Linked DNA regions of Arabidopsis thaliana. The protein of the gene in region 1 purifies or fractionates together with the protein of each later gene. This does not show direct contact. Each region holds a gene or a part of one and is shown on either strand. Other genes may lie near its edges.

The links. The genes of interacting proteins can lie anywhere in the genome.
Region 2: the proteins of VDAC5 (region 1) and 3BETAHSD/D2 fractionate together in Arabidopsis thaliana (co-fractionation; one large-scale study listed by BioGRID). This does not show direct contact.
Region 3: the proteins of VDAC5 (region 1) and AT3G15110 fractionate together in Arabidopsis thaliana (co-fractionation; one large-scale study listed by BioGRID). This does not show direct contact.

What each region holds. Positions count from the first base shown.
Region 1 is NC_003074.8:18,504,710-18,510,621, reverse strand, and holds VDAC5 (voltage dependent anion channel 5), read left to right. Parts: upstream 1-2,922; coding exon 2,923-2,971; intron 2,972-3,140; coding exon 3,141-3,208; intron 3,209-3,808; coding exon 3,809-3,977; coding exon of another isoform or gene 3,978-4,006; exon of another isoform or gene 4,007-4,010; coding exon of another isoform or gene 4,011-4,096; intron 4,097-4,188; coding exon of another isoform or gene 4,189-4,258; exon of another isoform or gene 4,259-4,309; coding exon 4,310-4,397; exon of another isoform or gene 4,398-4,465; intron 4,466-4,479; coding exon 4,480-4,786; downstream 4,787-5,912. Other genes in the region: AT3G49930 (C2H2 and C2HC zinc fingers superfamily protein), read right to left, coding at 1-376; AT3G49910 (Translation protein SH3-like family protein), read right to left, coding at 5,871-5,912. UniProt on the Arabidopsis thaliana protein: Putative channel that allows diffusion of small hydrophilic molecules through membranes.
Region 2 is NC_003071.7:11,175,404-11,184,594, forward strand, and holds 3BETAHSD/D2 (3beta-hydroxysteroid-dehydrogenase/decarboxylase), read left to right. Parts: upstream 1-2,660; 5' UTR 2,661-2,833; coding exon 2,834-3,077; intron 3,078-3,153; coding exon 3,154-3,243; intron 3,244-3,334; coding exon 3,335-3,468; intron 3,469-3,602; coding exon 3,603-3,773; intron 3,774-4,595; coding exon 4,596-4,721; intron 4,722-5,206; coding exon 5,207-5,286; intron 5,287-5,788; coding exon 5,789-5,987; intron 5,988-6,075; coding exon 6,076-6,181; intron 6,182-6,454; coding exon 6,455-6,629; intron 6,630-6,842; coding exon 6,843-6,999; intron 7,000-7,149; coding exon 7,150-7,216; intron 7,217-7,323; coding exon 7,324-7,469; 3' UTR 7,470-7,875; downstream 7,876-9,191. Other genes in the region: AT2G26270 (BRCT domain DNA repair protein), read left to right, coding at 8,810-8,969. UniProt on the Arabidopsis thaliana protein: 3beta-hydroxysteroid-dehydrogenase/decarboxylase involved in sterol synthesis. Catalyzes the formation of 3-oxosteroids from 3beta-hydroxysteroids-4alpha-carboxylate.
Region 3 is NC_003074.8:5,082,962-5,088,895, reverse strand, and holds AT3G15110 (uncharacterized protein), read left to right. Parts: upstream 1-3,036; 5' UTR 3,037-3,072; coding exon 3,073-3,420; intron 3,421-3,585; coding exon 3,586-3,807; intron 3,808-4,182; coding exon 4,183-4,208; intron 4,209-4,297; coding exon 4,298-4,502; 3' UTR 4,503-4,618; downstream 4,619-5,934. Other genes in the region: AT3G15120 (P-loop containing nucleoside triphosphate hydrolases superfamily protein), read left to right, coding at 1-409; AT3G15115 (serine/arginine repetitive matrix protein), read left to right, coding at 1,544-2,200, 2,315-2,677; AT3G15111 (uncharacterized protein), read right to left, coding at 2,920-3,036; HCF243 (Serine/Threonine-kinase pakA-like protein), read right to left, coding at 4,846-5,934.

The DNA.
Region 1 (5,912 bases):
TATTAACATCGACACTAACCGGTTTCCGGTGACTTGTTTTGTGTCCACCTAACGCTTGGTAAGACGGGAAAGATTTGCCACAGACGGAACACTTGTAATCTTTCTGATGATCGGACAGTGGAGAAAGAGAGTGATGATCCGACGGTGGAGAGTGATGATCGGAGGAGCCACGAGCGAGCATAAGGAGGCAAAGAGCGAGATACTCTTCTTCAGAAGGAGGAGGGTTTGGTTGATCTATACGGTGACGTTTTGTACGTTTTCTTTTGGTCCATGATTCGAGGTTTTCGGGCTCGGTTTCGTCGAGGCAACGGAGGAAAGGAGGAGGAGCGGTGGTTGTGGTGGTGGAGGTGGGAGAATTGAGAGTGTCGAGAGCCATATGGTGGTGATCTTTGATTAGAAGATGATTGAGAATTGAGAGAGATGATTATAAAAAAAAGAAAAAAAAAGAGAAAGAGAGAGTGAAGTGAGCTGGTGAGGGAGTGAGATGAGATGTGAGCACGTCTTTGTTTTAATTTTTTTTGGGTGATTAAGAGTGGGAACGTGGGCTCTAAGTGATCAAGTGGTGCTTCTTCTCTTATTTCTCCATATCCATTAATATCTCATCCTATTTTCATCTTTTATATATTTTTCTTTAACATAAATTTATTTATATAATTGAACTAAATTCTTTCCAAATTTCCAATATATCAAAAATGAACGAAAAAAGAATATTAGAGTTTGATGCAGTCGATGTAGAATCAATGAAATAGAGATGAATTTTGAATGATCAATAATGATAAATTTGTGAAAATATTATAAAAAAATAAAGTAAATCAAAGAAAAACTATCTTTTCAGTGGCACCTTGTCCAATAATGCGTAATCTAAGAATGCCTATTTTAAAAATTATGTGTTGTGGGGGAAGTCATGTAACTATAAATGTATTAGAGTCTAACATCAAACTTTATTGGAAAGCCGAAAAAAGTAACACATTCACAAAGATGGAAAACTAAAGTACTTATCAAAGTTGTGCTAATTTTGTCGATAGGTAGCAGTCCAAATCATGAGCTGATCAGCTTATTCAATATCTTCTTCTTCCTCTTTTTTTCTATTGGCAACAATTTATTATCCGAATTGTCAATTTCAATACACTTTATTCAAAAATAAACATATATCCACACATAATTTTACATTAGACCTTTTTTTTTTGGTTATAATAATGATTGTAAAAGTAAAAGGAACTTTTACATTTGTAGTGTAGTCTATAGTATTAATGTATTATTATTATATTGAGAGGATAATTTAGTTTACTATTAAAAGCAAGAAACTAAAAAAACAACAAGGCATAAAATGCGACAGGTGTTGATGAAGATTTGAGTTGCCATATCTTCGGAGTTAGTTTAAAGGTTAGGCCAGGTTAGCGAATCTTTTCATGGCGTTGGGTCATAACTGAGTTGTCAATTTTTCATTGGTTGGAAGCAGGTTAGATTCTTTCGTTGGGGACACGTGGTTAGTTATGTATGGTGGAAATGGTACGATTTGGTGGAGACTTAAAAAAGACGGTACGAGACACTTTCTTAAGGCTCAGGCGACATGGTTGTGAGTGACACCACCCACTTCATAAGCAACTAATTTTATTTATTTTCTTTTGTATTTTAGTTTACAACCATCAAGTTTAGGATCTCATAGTTTAGTTGCTTAAAAAAACTTCGTCTTATATACTTGACATTACTTGCTTATTTATTTCCTTCAAGTTTTTATATACAGATCATGATTTATTATAGATTTTTATAAGAAAAACAAAATCTGAGGAGATTAAGAGATGATATATGAATAATGGAGGAATTTAGGTCCTATATACAAGAAGTTAGTTAAGTTTTCTTTGCACAACAAAATTAAAACTCAAAGTCAAATGAGCTTATTAAGATAGAAATAAACTAACAACTTGCATAGCTCATGAAGAGCTTTATTGTGCAAAGAAAGTAAAAAAAAAAAGGACTTTAGATTGTCACCAAGATTAGTAATACTTTGATTCAATCATAAAATAGGGAAGAAGGAGAGCTGCCTCTTTAACAACTCTCTTGGTTATATATCTTAAGAGTCATTACACATCCTTATATGAAAACATAATCTTGATTGCAAAACCCTACTTACATAGGCTTTCAGAGTTTAGACTAGTAATGGTACTATTGGGCTTTGTAGCTTGCTTTAATAATAATAGCATAGAGCATAATAACGAGCAATGTTATTCATCTTTGAAGTTTTATTTGTCTTGCATCATAAAATACGTTGACATATGCCTAGCAATCTTTTATAAAATATTGAAAATATATTCCCAAACATATAAAATCCTAAATTCAAAAGAGCAACGTACATGTGAGCAAAGTATCGAGTTGTTATGTAGATTCGAAAAACATAGTTTATATCATTAATGAATACACAAACTATTCCATCAATCATGCTTCAGTATTTATTCAATCATCTCATCTTTTTGTTGGGGGCACAATTCAATCATCTCATCAAATAATATTTCACGGCTTCATAATCTGCATCGAGAACTTCCAAATCCACATTAAAACTAACCATAAGACACAAAGAAAATGGAAATAACGCATAATCAAGAATAATTAGTACAAAGTGAAATAACCACGTTTGTTGTTAAAGACTTATCGATTTAAATAATGTAAGCTTAATGGACTCCTGACATTCCAAGCGTAATGTTCTTTTACAAAGTAAAAAAAAAAAATTAAAAGAAGAAATGGCTTCGCCCGGGTTCGAACCGGAGACCTTCAGTGTGTTAGACTGACGTGATAACCAACTACACCACGAAACCTTTTGTTGTTACACGTCCGTTAATCATTGATTTTAACTATTATTGACTTGGACAATTTTACTGCCGTCACTATCTCTATTTGGTTTCCTCTCTCTCAAATTCTCCGATCACCATGAGTAAGGGTCCGGGACTATTCGCCGACATCGGAAAATATGCGAAAGGTATGATAATCTTCCCTTCCTTCTTCATCTCCATTAGTTTTGATGTCAACTTTCGAGTTTTCTCGATGTAGTTGTATTAATGTGATCATTGGAGGTCGAGAGAGAGTGTGATTGATGAATCCTGGTGTTTTCGTAAGCTCAATTTTGTGTTTTTCCCTTTTTGTGTTAGATCTGTTGACGAGAGATTACAGTACCGATCAGAAATTCAGTATCTCCACTAACAGTGTCTCCGGCGTCGTAAGTATCTAATCTCGTTTCTAGCTTTTTTATAATCTGTGAATCATATGATGTGTTCTTCGCAGTCTAGTAGATTTTGTTTCACATTGATGAATTTGTAGCAAATGTTTTGCTTAACAAGTACTATTTTAGGTTCTTCTTCTTCTTCTATCATGTATTTCCTCAAGAGTAGTATCTTCTTGCTGGTTATAGATTTGATCTATACTCTAGCTGGGGAGTGAATCATTGGAAATTGACAACGCATTTGAGTGAAGTTAAAGTCAATTTTGATATACCTGTGATTTTGGAGGCAAAAACCTCCTCTTGATGGATTCTACTGCCTAAGCATTGTGCAATATCTTCTGTGACTTGGGTAATCGGCATGTACTTGTGTTCTTTGTTAAGATTATCTCTGTATTGGAGTTAGCATAACAGGCTGATGAACAATGTAGATGATATTGCTAGCTAATAACATGTATCATGGTAATATACATTTGTCGCTTTAAACCACAAGGATACTTGAGAATATGAGCTACTTATAGGTTGCTTTGTTTATTTTGCCTGGCAACGCTTAAAATTTCTGCATCCATTGACGCTATGTGTTCTGTTATTTTATCGTAGGCTCTTACTTCCACTGCTCTCAAGAATGGAGTACTACATGCTGCTAATGTTGCCACACAATACAAGTACAGAAACACTTTCTTCGATGTCAAGATCGATACTGATTTCAATGTTAAGTCTCTTGTTTATCCAATGAATAAATTTGTCTCAATTGATCACAATACGCTAAGTTTGTGCCTCTTTTTTTTTTTCACTTGATCAGATCCTGACAACCATCACATCACTGAGATCCTCCCATCGACAAAAGCCATTGCTTCCTTCAAAGTGCCTGATTACAACTCTAGCAAGGTTATGCATTTCAGAATTCTTTAAGCTAGTTATATATACACATATAATGACTTTTTCAGCCAAATGAATTTAAACTCAACTATGATTTACAGCTGGAAGTCCAATATTTCCATGATCACGCAACAGTTACAGCCGCTGCAGCCTTACAATAAAACCCTCTAATTGATGTAACTGCTGCTCTTGGCTCACCAACTATCTCATTTGGTGCTGAAGCTGGGTATGACACCACATCTCGAACTTTCACAAAGTACAACGTCGGAGTCAGTGTCACAAAGCCAGATCAATGTGTCTCCATAATATTGTAAGATAAAGAAGCTCCTACTAATCAAAGTTCTATCGAGCTGTTCTTAATATATTCTGAATCTTTTCTTGGAAAATCTCAGGGGAGATAAAGGAGATTCGATCAAAGCCTCTTATGTATATTACCTAGATGAGTCGACGAGAAGCGCAACAGTTGGAGAGGTTATCAGGAAAATCTCAACTAATGAGACAACAGTAACTGTTGGTGGATTGTATGCGGTTGATCACTTAACGAATGTGAAAGCTAAGCTGAACAGTAACGGTAAGTTTGGAGCTCTTCTGCAACACGAGGGCCTTCCAAAATCGATAGTGACAATCTCAGGTGAGATTGATACCAAGACATTAGACAAGTACCCAAGGTTAGGTCTCTCGCTTTCCCTTAAACCTTGAAGAGCTACACATACCAATGGAAGTTAGGTTTAACAATGGAGACTACCCTTTCTGTCTCCTATGACATTGTTTAGAGTTGAGTTGGTTATTGAATAATGAATCCCTCGGCTAATCTCCTTATTTCTGATAATTCTTTTTCGGATTTGTTTCTTTTGGGGCTCACGCTTAATAGGAACAGTTATATCGCTCTTTTCTGAGAGTTTTTTTTTATTGTTTTGTTAAGAGAAACAAACCTTATGTGAAACTAGAATCAATCAAAGACTCAAGTTGGAAAAGAATCAGAGATAGGTCTTCTACACATGTACATCAAATGTGAAAACTGTTCAGTCGGATAATTGCATTTGAGATATGTTTTTTTAGTTCTATCTTTTTTCTCGAGGAAACGACTATTTTTTAAGGTAATGAGAAAGAATCAGTTTCATAGAAATGAAATGATTTGCTGTTAATCAGAGTGGCAATTCTTTTAAATCCACAGTAATGCTTATGCCAAACAAAAAATTACAATTGAAAACCACCAAGTTCGAACTCAACCTATACCACAAACGTCTTAGACAACACAAAATTGCAGAGATAAGTGTGAAGAGACGAAAGGATTGGTCTGATAAATTGATATGTCGTTTAAAGACACAAACTCGTCATTCCAATATGTTCAAAAATGAAAACCACTGTCGAAAAATGGAACCCCCACTATCAAACGAAATAACCTAAACCAAGAACACTACTCTAGAGAATCATTTCAACTAAGTCACCACATAAATGACCAATATCATCAATTCTACTGCAATAGACTGATAAACGCAAGACTCCTATGTCAAATCAGGAGTTCAACACCAATCTCAACACACATCCAACACATAATCAAAAGCTAAACCAAACAAACACATCATTATAAAGAATGAGACAAAGAGATAAACTTCCATAACCAAACTTCAAATACTCAAAATCAAAACATAAGTTCTCATGTCTAGCACCATAAAGATCCACTGACAACATTCCAAAATATCCAAAACTTGAAAATTAAAAAGCGATTGAAGATAACTCTAAAAGATAAAACCTTTCAAGAAGATTTCTTCTTCCTTCTTACTTAATCAACGTTCTGCATAACATCCTCAGACGTAAACTTAGT
Region 2 (9,191 bases), on another chromosome or scaffold:
CACCATCTCACTTTTGCGAGGGCTCAATCTTTTCACGTCGATCACCACGTTTGTGACCGATGCAGAATCATTAACTTAGTGACTATCCTGCCTCAATACCTATGAGATAGTAGCCTTCCGATCGAATTGTCACATTTTGTAAAAGTTTTCCAATAATTTAATGGAAATGTGGTAGCCTTCCGAGAAGGGTTATTTCACATATAAAATTTGGACAAAAACTACTGGTAAGTAACCTCTTTAAAACGCTATACATACGAGTGGCACAAAATTGTAAATCATTACAAAAGAAAGTAATAATACTGAGTAAAATATTCTTTAAATATAAATGTTTGAATTGGTCCTATATATGAAGTCAAAAACAATTCATATTAAAAAGAAAAAGCAGACTTATGCATGTGATCCACAGCAAGGACAACACATGCCCAAATGGGTTTCTTTAAGTACGTGTGCTTTATATAGTTGCGTTATATACCCTAAAAAGAAAAAAGAAGGAAAATGGTGAATGGTGATCATAATTACGACGTCGAAAGAAATACGATGAAGGTACACGCTATTACTTATAGAGTTATCGTTTTAAAATTGACGAAACGTTATGATCGTGTAAACATGGGATTTTAAAAATCATGAGAAAACAAAATCCACAAACGAAACACGACATCATATATATATTCTAAATATGTAGTATTGATATGTGATCAAAACATTGTTAGGTTAAACTTGAAAAGGAAAAAAAGTTGCTGTTAAAAGAAGTTGCTAAGACGTATGGGAAATTAGTAATGTTGACAAGAGAGGTATGGATGTTGAAATGTTTATGATGATATCTAACTTATGGCTGTCTTCTTTAATGAGTCAAATGGCTGATGCATTTTACGGGAAGTAGTTGAAGCAACCCCTTATACCATTATTGCACATTATTATTATTTCCCTCTCTCTTTTTTGTATTGTTTTTAAATAAAAAAAAACAATTTCAGATCGGTTAGGTCCTTTTGGACCATGAATTTTGTAGGCCATAAAAAAATAAAAAATAGAAGTCCAAAACAAATGAAGCAGTGAATAAACTTTACCAAAATAAGATCCAAACACGTACGTGCATGCTTGAATTTGTTCATAAATGACTGAAGATTTTTCATTTGATTGACTAAATATTGTTTTTACTTCTTTGCCTTTTTTTCTTTTATAGGTTTTGCCAAGAAACCAAAAGCATAGGTAATGAACATGGAAATCCGAACCATCTTCATCTTATATGATACATACTCATTTAGCAAAGAAAAATAATTAAAGGATTTAGTTTTTGGTTGTCACAAAAAAGCTTTGTTTCAAGAACTCTGTCATTGCGCTTATATCAGGAAAGAAACTTGAACAAAAAAAAAGAGCTTTGTTTCAAGAAGAAGGGTCTATACTCTATAGTCTATATATAGTGCAACAGAAAATGATCACGTGAGGTTGTAGATATAAGAGAAGATTATCGAACCAATCTTCTAAGACAATTTCAGACTTAATAGTTAATACTAGTAGTTTTCTTATATATACAACCAAAAAGAAACGGTTTAAGAAGTGAAATATAAAAAAACTATCCAATCTTATCCAACGAGTCATGGTTCTAAACTCCCGTTGACTTACATACCATAACCACAGTCAACCCTAAGATAAAGATGGCTAAAATATGAAATAATTGTGGCCCTTCTTATTATTATATCAAATATAAATTCACAAAAATTCAATGGATGAGGATGATAGAACTGGGTTTAACATGGGCTTCCAACCTAAAACCAATTGACAATAGGTGGAGTGGTCCGAACCTTCTATATATCACTTGATAATTCCTCCAATTTTTGATGTGGAACTTTCTTTCATTAACAAAGGATACAAAAGAAAACCTCTCATAAGCGACAATATTAAATAGGATTTAGTTATTTAGCAAAAAAAGTAGAACTTTAGTTATAGTATTTTCATAACAATTTTCTTATTATTTAACCGCTTGTTACCAATCATAACAAAAACAAAAACGTGATGGATAGTTATAAGATGATGAAATTGAAGAACTCTGAAAGAGAGGTTCATGCTTCGACACACAAATCTCGTCAAGTTTTGTGACTTCGTCTAGAAACGAAGATTACCTTATAATCTAGCTTTTTATTCTAATTTTTTTTGCATTCATGGTTATAAATGGAAGGGATTTGATGAAATTAGATGGGATTGGAGATGGAGAAGGATGGAGGCACCTGAAGAGAGAAGAACAATTGTTAAAACTATAAGAAATTAAAGAATAAAAAGATAAAAGAGTATCATGAAGAGTGAAGAAGAAACAATGGTCATAAAACTATATTTGCGATTATTTATGCAACTTTATATATTTTTTATTTTTTTTAATCTTTTAATTTATTTTATATTACTATTGTAATGAGATTTTACTTATAACAAAAAAAAATATTTTTACTATTCGACTTCTTGTTACAACTTAACCATTTTCATTATGACCAAAAACACACTTTCACAAAAACTTTGAACAATTTTCATTTCTTTTTGTTACAAACCCCTCCAAAACCAATCTTAAAACAGTTTTCATTTACATAAACCTTGAGATTAAATCACATTAAAAATCCCAAATCATATGGGTTTAAACTTAAACAGAATCTTATAAAAATTCGAAAGCCCAATATGTTTTGTTTTCCCAACAATAAAAATAGATTGGAACAGAAAGGTTGTGGGAGGCACACATTACACACCAAAGCAGTGTTTTCTTTCTCCTGAAAAGATTTTTCAAGCTCTCTCTTTCTCTCAAAGGTAAATGCTTCTCTGATTTCGCCATTTTTGCTTACTCGATTCAAAAGACATGTCGCCGGCAGCTACGGAGACGGAGCGATGGTGCGTTGTTACCGGCGGTAGAGGATTCGCGGCGAGGCATCTTGTTGAAATGCTCGTACGCTACGAAATGTTTTGCGTCCGTATCGCCGATTTAGCTCCGGCGATAATGCTTGATCCTCAGGAAGGGAACGGAGTTCTCGACGAAGGATTAAGATCTGGTCGTGTTCAATATATCTCCGCTGATCTTCGAGATAAATCTCAAGTCGTTAAAGGTTCTTAATCACAAAGTCATTGATTCTTAGTGGACTTTGAGATCTATGCATCTTTGTAATTACTTGTTCCCATTAGCTTTTCAGGGAGCGGAGGTGGTGTTTCATATGGCAGCTCCAGATTCTTCTATTAACAATCATCAGCTTCAGTATTCGGTGAATGTTCAAGGTTAATAGAAACTTCAATTTTTGCACATTTCGTTTCTGTCAAACTGATGAATTCAGTTAGTTCTTGTGTTTATGGGATTTTTAATGTACAGGGACACAAAATGTGATTGATGCTTGTGTTGATGTTGGAGTAAAGAGGCTTATTTACACTAGCTCTCCTAGTGTTGTGTTTGATGGTGTTCATGGTATTTTGAACGGTACTGAATCAATGGCTTACCCAATTAAGGTATTAATTACGCTTTTGGTGTGAACTTTGAATTTGATGTTTTGTCTTTCTATTGTTGTACAGAACTATGGCTTTGAGATGATTCTTTGCTTGTTTTGGAGTTTGGTTACTAATATTTTCTTCATTCTATTCAGCACAATGACTCATATTCAGCAACTAAAGCTGAAGGAGAAGAGTTGATCATGAAGGCTAATGGTAGAAATGGACTACTCACTTGTTGCATACGTCCAAGCAGTATTTTTGGTCCCGGTGATAGATTATTGGTTCCGTCGCTTGTTGCTGCTGCTAGGGCTGGGAAATCTAAGGTTGGATTGTTTTCTTTGTTTACCGTTTTGCTCCTCTATGTGCTGTCTGCCTTCCTTTTTACCTTTTTTACCTTTCCTCTTCTCTCTTCTCTTGATACTTTTGTTACTCTCACGAAGGTAGCTGCCCTTTATTGACATTATTATCTAAACGTGTTTGAAAGTCATGACCATGCTGTGCATTTGGTAGATAGTTCTGTACTATGAAGTTTTTCTCAGAAGTTATGATTAACTCTTTGGAAACACACAGATTGATTCACAGGGAATGGAGAATTTTTTTTTACCATTAAAGCCATAACTGTGAAATCGTTTGGTGACAGTAGAGCGGAGAGAGAATAATTTATGTTTGTTTTACGCAAAATTTGGGGTATTGACTTCGCAAAGTTTCTAAATTTGAAGCTTTAAGCTACAAATGTAGAGGACTGAACTTTCTATATGTCTGGACACCATTAGGATGTATGATTTTCTTTGGAAACCTAAGCTTGGTGGCATCGATGAAATGGCCTTAAAAGTAGCCTAACACGAGATACAAAGAATGATGTGGAAAGCAACATTCATATGAGTACTTGAAAAATGATTTGAGGGAGGGTTCCTGGTTGCGCGGTGCGATATTCCTTCCTAATTAAGATTTATGGCTTTGCTAGTAGGAATGTATTTAGTCTTTTATCTTGCTGCTAGTTAAGAGGTGCTTTAGATGATCATGGATCTCTCCAAAATGAATTTAATAGGTTAAGATGCATTGTTTGCTTGGATTTCTTCTTTGACATAAAATCTTTCATTATTTTTATTTTTGATACGACTGTTTTCTGCTTCTTTACTGTCCAGTTTATTATTGGTGATGGGAATAATCTCTATGATTTCACTTACGTTGAGAATGTTGCTCATGCCCATGTTTGTGCTGAGCGTGCTCTAGCTTCAGGAGGAGATGTTTCTACAAAAGCTGCAGGACAGGTATTTGCTTTCAGTTGATTCCATGCCGTAGTTTTCTAAGGTGGAGTTTGGTCTCAGTTTCACATCATTATATTTGTGGTCTCCATAGTTTTCTAGCTGTAAATGTTTGGAATGAAATGCTGTCATGGTCAACCAGTATTTTTGTGTACAGCTGTTAATGCATACCTAAAGCATAAACGTTTCAGGCATACCATGAAAACTGAGATAAAAACTGTGTCTACTCAAACATTATGTGAACTTCAAAGAGCTTGCTGGTTTTTTCGTTCGAGATTATTTTTCTTGTCTGTTGTGTTTAGCTGAGATAGATCCGTTTGAGATGTTTGCCAAATTATCTATTGATGATAACATTGTTTACTGCCGTATTTGAATAAAGTTAAATCCCTTGAATAAAATTTAGTTAAGGCGTCCAGTGAGATGGTAGTTTATTTATGATGTTGTAGGAAAATCCTAGTTGTAGGCTAACCTGACATTTAGTGGATTTACAGGCATATTTCATTACCAACATGGAGCCAATTAAATTTTGGGAATTTATGTCACAGCTCCTTGATGGACTTGGTTACGAGAGGTATTATGTTTTTCCCTTTTTTTGTTTGGGTTTGCAACTAGTGTCATGTATACTTGTAAGATCTTGCATACACAAAAAGGGGAAAGACACGTCTTAGTTTCATTTTATTTATGTTCTTGCATGGGAATTGAGTTGAGCTTGACTTGACGTTCTATCCGGAAGTAGCATATAATTAAGTTTCCTTCAAAATAATTGGGTATATAGTATATACAATGATTTCTGCTTACAGTTTTGTATTTTTGTTCTGCTTACATTTTTATAAGGTTACATTTCTGCTTGCAATTTTATTGTGCATACTTCATAGTAATTGGGCATATACAATACTTTCTGATTACATTTTTGTGCCTGACAAGTTTTCTGATTTCATGTAATCCATTTTCTTTGGGATATAGGTTTCTGACCTTGTCAAATTGGTTTTGACGGCTTCACTTATCTAAGAAGGAATGCATTGTACTTAACCCATACCTTTGACTGTTCTTCTTAATTTTAATATATTTTGCAGGCCAAGCATAAAGATCCCTGCGTTTATCATGATGCCGATTGCGCATCTGGTTGAACTGACATATAAAGTGTTGGGACCATATGGGATGACAGTACCACAACTAACACCTTCAAGAGTTAGGCTTCTCTCATGCAGCAGAACTTTCGATTCCACGAAAGCAAAGGATCGACTAGGCTATGCTCCTGTGGTCCCACTTCAGGTTATACAATATTTGATTTGAAAGAGAGAGATATTTGAAGCCTTTATTGTTCTTTATATATTGCATGCATGCCTTGATGATCCTGCAGGAAGGTATACGGAGGACGATAGACTCATTCTCTCACCTAACAGCTGGAAGTCAATCCAAAAGAGAGGGCCCATCCAAGGCTTCTAGGATTCTTGGAGGCGGAAAGGGTATGACCATATATTTCAATTAGCATGCTTGTCCTCTCAGCTGATCGTCTCTCACATGATAAGCACCCAATGTTTATTTTTAAAATTCACTGGATATTTTTCTTTTTATTAAAATCTTGAGTCAGCGTCAACATCTGCACGCTCTCCTGAGAATGATTGTGTTCAGTGGCTAGCTACCATATTAATGTGAAGAGGCATAGGATGTTAGTAGAACTAGACATATTTTCAAATCTACCCTGGTCTTGATTCACTTGTTCTGACATGATTTTGCAGTTGCTGATACACTTCTCTGGAAGGATTTAAAGCAGACTCTTATTGCCATATTCATTCTAATTAGTATCTATTATAACTTTGTTGCAACTGGGTCTACCGTCGTAACTGCTCTTTCGAAGGCTCTATTGGTAGCATCTGTATTTTTGTTCCTCCATGGCATTCTACCAGAGAAAATGTAAGATTCCTGAGATGCCAACTTTTGATAGATTTTCATTTATGTGCAATATGAACTACCTTAACCTAGTTCTCTAATAATGGAAACCAGAAGGTATATGCCAAACATTTTTGAAACACTGTGTATCGTACTCTTCAATCAGGAACAAGTAATATAAGCAATTGCTGTCTATTTCAGTTTACGAACAACTGAATATAGATGCTTATTTTGCAGATTTGGTTATACAGTTGAAAAGATTCCTGCATCGCAATTTCACCTCTCAAAAGACTCATCACATGACCTCTCATTGTCAGTGATCTCTTCATGGAACACCACTGTAAAAGCTTTAAGATCTCTTTGCCAGGGGAATGATTGGAGCTTCTTTTTCAAGGTATTTTTCCTTGAACTAGTTATTGCTGGCAAGTTCCAGTCGTACGATATCTTATCCCAACCTGAAACAGAAATAGGGACAAAATTCGATTGCTGAAGTTCTCTTTGGTAATAATATTGTAACACCGCTTTGGTGTTTTTAATGTCATAGGTGGTCTTCGTTTTGTTAGCATTGAGTTTGGCTGGAGCCATATCTCTTCACAGCATATTTGTTATAGGTACACACTCACTCTCTATCTAGTTTTACTACATGCCAACGCTACGGTTGTATGAATTATAGTTCTTCAACAATAACTGGTTTTGTTGTTCTGTTTTTGTTCAACAGGACTGCCCATTGCCTTCCTTGCTTTTCTCGTGTACGAAAAGAAAGAGCAAGAGATCGACTCAATAGTGGTGAGTTTTAAATCTTTCGCATGCAAGCACAAATCCGATGTGTATGAGAAATTGTTCGGAAGCAAGAAACATGACTAAAAACCCTTTTTTTGCCCAGCATTTGTAATTTTCTTTTGTTTCCAACGACCTCTAACTCTGGTTTGAGCTTTTTTCAAGTTTTATTATTTGTGAATCTCTTTTTTACTCATTTCTATTGGTCTTTGTTTACATGCTTGGAGAAAAATGGATGTTGAGAGATGCCCTATTAAGCCACAACTTTTGTCCTCTAACATGAAAGTAAGCATTGAAAAATCGAATGAATTTGTGAAAAAAAGAAAGGAGAGAAGAAAGATTCGCAAGGTTGATTCCTAAAGCACATGTCCTTAGTCCCGTGCCTTTGAATATAGAATCAATTGATAGATTATCAAACCACAAAACAACTCTAATATTGAATTTAATGACAAAATATTAGTAAAGACCAACTTTATGAAGTGGCAGCCTTTTTATCTACTTGTTGTAAGTCTATTTCTCGAATTTTCCTTTCCAAATATCCAAAATGTAATTAATGTAAATTGAGTTAACTATATTCCAATATCATTAAAATCATAGAGACGAATTTCATAACGAATAAAGAAAAAATTTTAAGCTTCAATTTTATTGTTAATATTTTGTTGTACACATGTTAAAGCGAATAATTTAGCATATGAAATTCTTACAGAACCACGTTATATTACATATGTAAACAACATATCTCCGAAGTAGTTCTTTTGAGTTTAATTTAAAGTTGTTAAAAAATAAAGATTATCTGAAAATAAATAATAATACAAAAAATTATAAAAATAAATAGAAATGTTTAACTGGATCCCATCCATCTAAAAACAGAAGCTTACAAATTAAAATTTGTATTATCACTCCACTTTTATTAAAAAGCCAAAATTACAAGACTTGTTATAATTACAAGAGTTTTGGTGTAAGTAATTAATAAAAAGAAGTCGGGTCGGGTCGGGTCAAGCCCAACTATTTTTGAATCACAAGAGTTATCTCTCAGTCTCACTAGTCACTTGCAAAGAAGCGTTGTGTGAGAGTTTTGAATAGAAAGAGTAGTTGTCTCTCATTCCCCAAATTTGGAATCACGCCGATAAAGCCAAAATTAGCCCCACGAAAAAGCTCCGACAACCAAAGTAACCATCTTTTTCCGAGGATTCATCACTTAAAGCACCATTTTGTCCACAATCACTCAACCCTAAAATCTTTTTCTCCTTTGAATCCTTTTCATGCTTCTTCTTACATTCCCCGATTTCTTTTTCCTCTGAGAAAGTGATTTCCTTTTGATTTTGATTCTTTTTTAGTCTTTCTGCAATGATTCCGTATTTTGAATTAAGGATTTATAAAAAAGCAGAGATTGGAGCTTGGTTTGTTGTCTATCATCAACTATCACAATGGGTGCTCTCAGAAGAAGAAATGTTGGTTTGATTGATTCAAAGGGTTGTTCTAAGTTGTTTCCTGTTTTACAATCTCCTCCTCTTACTACTACTTCAATGTCTCAGTCCAATGGTCCATTCTCTTCTCTTGTCATTTGTGTCACTGGTTTATCCAAAGGTAAAGACTTTGTTCCTTTTTCAATCTCTATTAGGCAGAAAGTTTGAATTTTTATGTTCCATCAATATTAAAGTTTTATTCTTCTAGACTTTCAGATTCTGTTGTTATAACTTTGGTTTTATGTTTGTAAATTTAAAGAATTTGTTCCTCTTCAATCTCCATTAGTCAGAACTCAGAAGTAGGATATTTATGTTAATCAATCTTTAGATTTCAGATGCTGTT
Region 3 (5,934 bases), about 13 Mb from region 1:
TTCCATCACAACAGAGGGTATACATGATGCGGTTTCTTCATTATCAGTGGAGCTTATTTCTGCTGTTAGAAAGTTCATCTCTGTGAAAAACAATGGTACCATGCAGGAAGCGAAGGTCAAAGATCATGAGGAATGTCCAGAAAACGAAGCATGTTTTTGCAAACGCTTATCCGGTAATTTTCTTGCCTCTGTCGAATGTTGCAGTCATTCTGCTGAAATGCAAGGGAGCTTAGATGAGGGAAATACATATCGAAGACCTAAGACTTGGCTTGAACCAGTATTCGTTTTCAAAGATGGAATATTGGTTCCGGTGAGTACTGAAGATGACCGCTCTTTGCATTGTAAATATGATAGTTTCTGCCTTGGTTCTCTCATAGAGTTAATTGCAACTGAGATGAAGCCTTTTTGATTGATTCATCTGTAAACTTTTTACTCAAATCAGCTGGTGTCTCTGCCATTGATTTGCAGTTACAAGACTAGTAAAATATTTTAATTCAGATATGAAAAAATCAGCAGTTTCTTGGCTCAAACTCCTGTTTCTTCAAGCTGCGTAGTGCGTACTAATATCTTTCTCGTGAGATTATTTGTGATGTGATTAGCATTCGTTTCTCAGCATCGTCAACAAATCATCAGGTACGCAGCTAAATTGACTGATTAGCCACATCCCACATGTCACCTAATAAAGATTTACGGCTGATGAACATAATTAATGTTATATGCAATGTCATACTATAATTGGAGAACAATGTAGGTTCAGAGCTCGAGATTTAATGCTTTTACATTCACATGTATTTTAATATTACCAATATCTTTTGTATTTATTAGATTACTATAATTCTTAGCTGTCGCGTAGGAGGCGATGGATAAGAAATAATATTAATATATAACAAAAACTGTATGTATTATTTTATATGATATAGAACCGAATTGTTTACATATTAAGTTTAAGAATCACATGGCATGTTGACTGTCATGACAGGGCTTATTATGCCGTTTCTTAGCAATCATAACTTTTGTTGAAAAACCTTATTTTTCTTAGTTGTTGCCAGAAATCCTTTTGATTTGTTATCTAATTTTATTTTAATTATCCACTTAGAACACTTAATTATTGGTTTTTCTTTTCCAAAACCTATTCAGCTAATACGTCTCTGCAATCTCCTAAATATACAAAAAGATTACTGAAATTAAAAAACTTGTGGCGCCAATATTTTTCCCTAGAAGTTAAAATATTATTGACTCCAAAATTCAGAACAATTGTAAAAGAAAGAATCTTTCAAATTCGGAATAAGTCAATTTATTTCCATTTTTTGTTTTCACTCAAAAAATTTCATCTTTTATTTATGTACAAAAACATTGACTCCACATAAAACAATAAAAACAATATTTTTAGAAAATAAGTGCTGAATGGTTGCCCACATGGGCACCTCCTAATAAGTCCCCAGAATCTATGCTTCAAATACAAAACCGAACAAAAGAAGAAGAAGAAGAAACAAGAACACAAACTTATCTCTTTATGTTATCTTTTGTCTGAATTAAAAAAAAAATGGATTCTACTTCGAATGATCATCAAGAGTTGGAACAATTCGAAGCCATTGATGATCTCCTCGAAGATTTCTGGTTCTTTGATAACTTACTTGACAGAAGATCAAGGATCTTGAGGTACTGTCATTCAGATCCTTACCCTTTTACTTCTTCTTCTTCTTCAACTTGTCCCAAACCCGAATTACCGAAAATTGGAGATTCGGATTCGGAGATTAAGCTTCTAGAAGCTTCTACTGGGGGAGACTTTGTTCCGCCGCCGTGTATAGAGAAAAAAGAAGGCGGAGGCGAGCCTGAGAAGATAAATAAGGTGATGAGAAGGCAGTTCTCTGAGAAGACTAGGGTTCAAGAACGAAGAACTTACTTGCAAAAGAAGGAACCTGTAGTTCGAGAGAAGGGAATTAAAGAAGGTTCGAGGAAGAAGAACAGAACAAGAATTAGTTGTAGTAACAATAATAGTGTCCAGAGTTGCTCGATGGGAGGGAGTTTGCAGAGAACTCAGACTTTGCCTAGTTACTTAGGAAGAGAAGACGATGTAAATGAGTTTCAAGATCAAGAGATTGATGATTCAAGAATGGGATTTTTGATCCGTGAAGCCATCGCTAACTCTTCTTCTTCTTCTTCTTCTGGATTTACTCCAACGAAACAGAACATTCCAAAGGTGATGATCTCTCTTTGTTTACATTAGTCTTTTCAATTCTTGGATGATTTGATTGAATCATTGCTGTTGTTGAGACTCTGAATTTGACCAGAAAGTTTTTAAAACTTTGTATAGGTTTCATGCATTCCAAGGCATAGACCACCTAGAAACTCAAGATCAGAAGACGCTATTCAAGAATTGGTCGTCAAATCACAAAAAAGCCCAAACCGCAAAACGCTGCGTAAAACGTTAAGCAGCATCGAGACGAAAGATATTCAAATGTTGAAGGATTTTCACATTGAAACAGAGAAGAAGCAAGAAGAAGACGAAGAAAAACAGAGGAAGGTCCCATGCACCACCACTGGGAAAAACCGGTCTACAGCGGTGGTGGGACAGCCGATTCCGGTTTGGGTTCCAAAGGATTCGAGAAAAGACATGAAAGCTCAGATAAAGTTTTGGGCTCGAACCGTCGCAAGTAATGTTCGACAAGAATGCTGATATCATTCACTTTCATTAGCAAACAAATTGCTTCTACGTATAAACAAACACTCATTTCATATTCTTTGGTTCCCTTTATGTTCAAAAACATTCATCTATCATTTCACCTACAATAATAAGGAAAAATAACAATCATAATGATGAGTTTTTTTATTCGACGGAGAAACCGAACTCAAGTAATATTTTACATGAAGAAGAATGCGATAAACAATCAAGTGAAACTATATAAAATGTGGTACTTACTATTTCTGTAGTATAATGGTAACTTGGGAAGCCTCTAATTCGCGGAGAGTGTCTACGAAGAAGAGACCCTCTAAACGATAGAGAGGCTTTAGAGTGAGGATATTTGAAGAAGACATTAATGGTGAGATAAAAATCTTTCGACGGCTAAGAAAATGTTAGTGTTGCAGAGCCACCAATGTCTCTTCTCTCTCCCTTACCGTCTCCGTCCAACGCGTCTTATCTCTCCAATCCATTCGCTCTCTTCCTTTACCAGGATCCGTCCCGGTATAATCCGATTATCCGCCGTAAAAGAAATCGCCGATGTGGCGGAGGTGGAAGAAGATGGTCCAATTGAGCTTCCTACGTCGTCCACGTCTCCGTTTTCGTCTACTAACTCCATTTTCGCCACTTCCGATGATCCTACTCCTCTCCAATTGGCCACCAGTGTGCTTCTTACCGGTGCCATCACTGTCTTCCTCATCCGCTCCGTTCGACGGCGCGCTAAACGCGCCAAAGAGCTGGTAATATCTCGTTACTTAGACCCTAGACATTCTTAAGGAACAAATAACCACCGAATTTGGTCTAAATCGAATTTAACCAATGGTTTTGATCTGTTACACTTGAATTTGGGAGAATTGTGTTTGAAATTTGGGAAGGAATATGAGTGATTTGGTGTGGAATTGTAGACATTTAGATCTACTGGAGCTAAGAAATCGTTGAAAGAAGAAGCAATGGATAATCTAAAAGCGTTAAGTTCAACTCCGATAGAAGGTGGTAATTCAACTCCATCGGCGGCTCAGGCGTTTCTTGGTGCGATAGCCGCAGGAGTCATTGCTCTCATTCTTTACAAATTCACTGTTACAGTTGAATCAGGACTCAATCGTCAGACTATCTCTGATAACTTCTCGGTTCGTTTCTTCTCTCTCTCTTTTTGATCATCCATTGCTTGTGTCAAAGTTGCTGTTTCTGTCTAACTTGCTTTGGTAAAGTAACAGTACCTTGTGTTCCAAGTATCATCATGGTCTCAATAACTGTAAATGCCCATAATTGAGAAATAGCTATATTCATTATGGAGAGGACCCATTCTTGTCCATGATTTCTGAATTCATTGTGCAACTAGCTTAAGTTCATTATGCAAAGGTTCCATTCTTATCGAAACACGAAGCTGTCTAAAGATTCCCAGTTTATTCCTTCTTTTGCTAGCCCTCTTGATCATTGCTGTTTTTAAGAAGAGTCTGCCTATTCCACAGTTTCTGAATTTTATGTACTTCTATTTATTGCAGGTTAGGCAAATCACGGTAACCGTAAGGTACATTTAAGCTTTACCACTTTTCTATGTACTCATCACAAGCCATTCTCGCAAATTCTTAAGACTAAACTCTTCATTTTGATCCGCAGGACTATCATCAACGGTATATGCTATCTAGCAACATTTGTTTTCGGTCTCAACGCGTTCGGACTTCTCCTTTACTCTGGTCAATTAGCCTTCAATGAAGATTCTGCTGAAGAAAACATGAAGGCCACAACACAACCTGGAGACTCATCATCAGGTGACAACAGTGAAGTAAATAAAAGCAATGAGGATCAAAGTTCAGGTGATTGATTAGTCCGGTCTTTACTATGAAACATGTATTAATAATATCATATTCATGTAGCCAACTATGCATAAAATTGTTTTCTTCTTTTCAATTTATTGTAACTATCTATCTGTTTGTTGGGAAGCGTTAGTTGTTGTTAGTTTCGATGGGACTTCATCGACCAGAGAGTGAGACATTAGACTAACGGACAAAAAAAACGGATACAGATTTTCATGAAAAAAACATTGGCACAGTGATAGAAAATGAATTATGACTAACAAAACAAATTTACAAACAAGGACAAATAGTATTCTGAAATTACTATTACACCCAAATAGTTTCCTTTATTCCCACTCACGTCTCCTTCTTCTAGAACCCTACTCCGGCGCCGCCGACACCGACGGTTGCCGGAGGGTGTGGCTCAAGCTTCCTATTTTTCCAGAAACAAGCTTCCGGCGCTAGCTTCGACGCTGACTTCCTCGGTTCCGATTTGCAACGTGGCAGCACTGGTGGCTGTACCTTATTAGCTCCGGCTACCCTCTGTTCCCCAACCGCCGCAGCTGCCGTTATTATCGGTGGAGCTGCTGGGTATGAACACGATGACCGTGGCGGCTGTAGGTGAAGTGGTGGTCTATCGATTGACCGCCGGCGAGAGGATGCGTTGGAATCAACGGCTGTGACGATTCGCTTCTTGGGTTGATGATGATGATGATTGTCTCCGACGGCTTCTGGTGGTATCTTCTTCGCCGGAGGTCTTCCTGGTAAACATCTGACGAAATCTGTACTGCAAACCCAAGTCTCCTTAGAGACTTCCATTGAGAGCTTTGGTTCACACATCATAAGCAGCAAACAATCCGGTAACACCTTATACGGCGTCGCCGTCGTCTTCTCTTTCTCCGTTGTTTCCTCTTGTAGACTTCTTCTCATCACCACTTCCGGACTCGGGTCGGGTTCCCGGTTTCCTTGTTCGGATCTTTCCTCATTTTGAGGTATACAATCAGGAACAACCTCTTTGCTTTCTTCTACCTCCTCCGTCTCAGCCACCGCCACAACCGCTAATTCTTCCATCTCAGCAAGTTTCTCCTCTTCTTCTATAGCGTTTCTGATTTCGTCTTCAATTTTTTTCATGATCGTAGCTTCTATTTCTTCCTCAAACGAATCCAGAATTTTCGAAGCTTCTTGTTCTTCTTCAACAATCGAATCTTCCACAACTTTGACTCTTTCTTCTTCCTCTGTAGCTGGATTTGAAGGCAAAGGAGCTTCTGCTTCTGCTTCTGCTTCTGCTTCTGCAACTGCTACTGAAACTTCTTCTGTTTCCACAGTAGTCTCACCAGAGATCCATTTCTCACACAAGTCGATCCGTTTCTTATCTTCAATTTCCAGCTCAAACCTTCTTCTTCTCTCATCTTCTTCCTCCTCTGTGTATACGCCGTCGTTTAACGACAACTGTCTTTCACG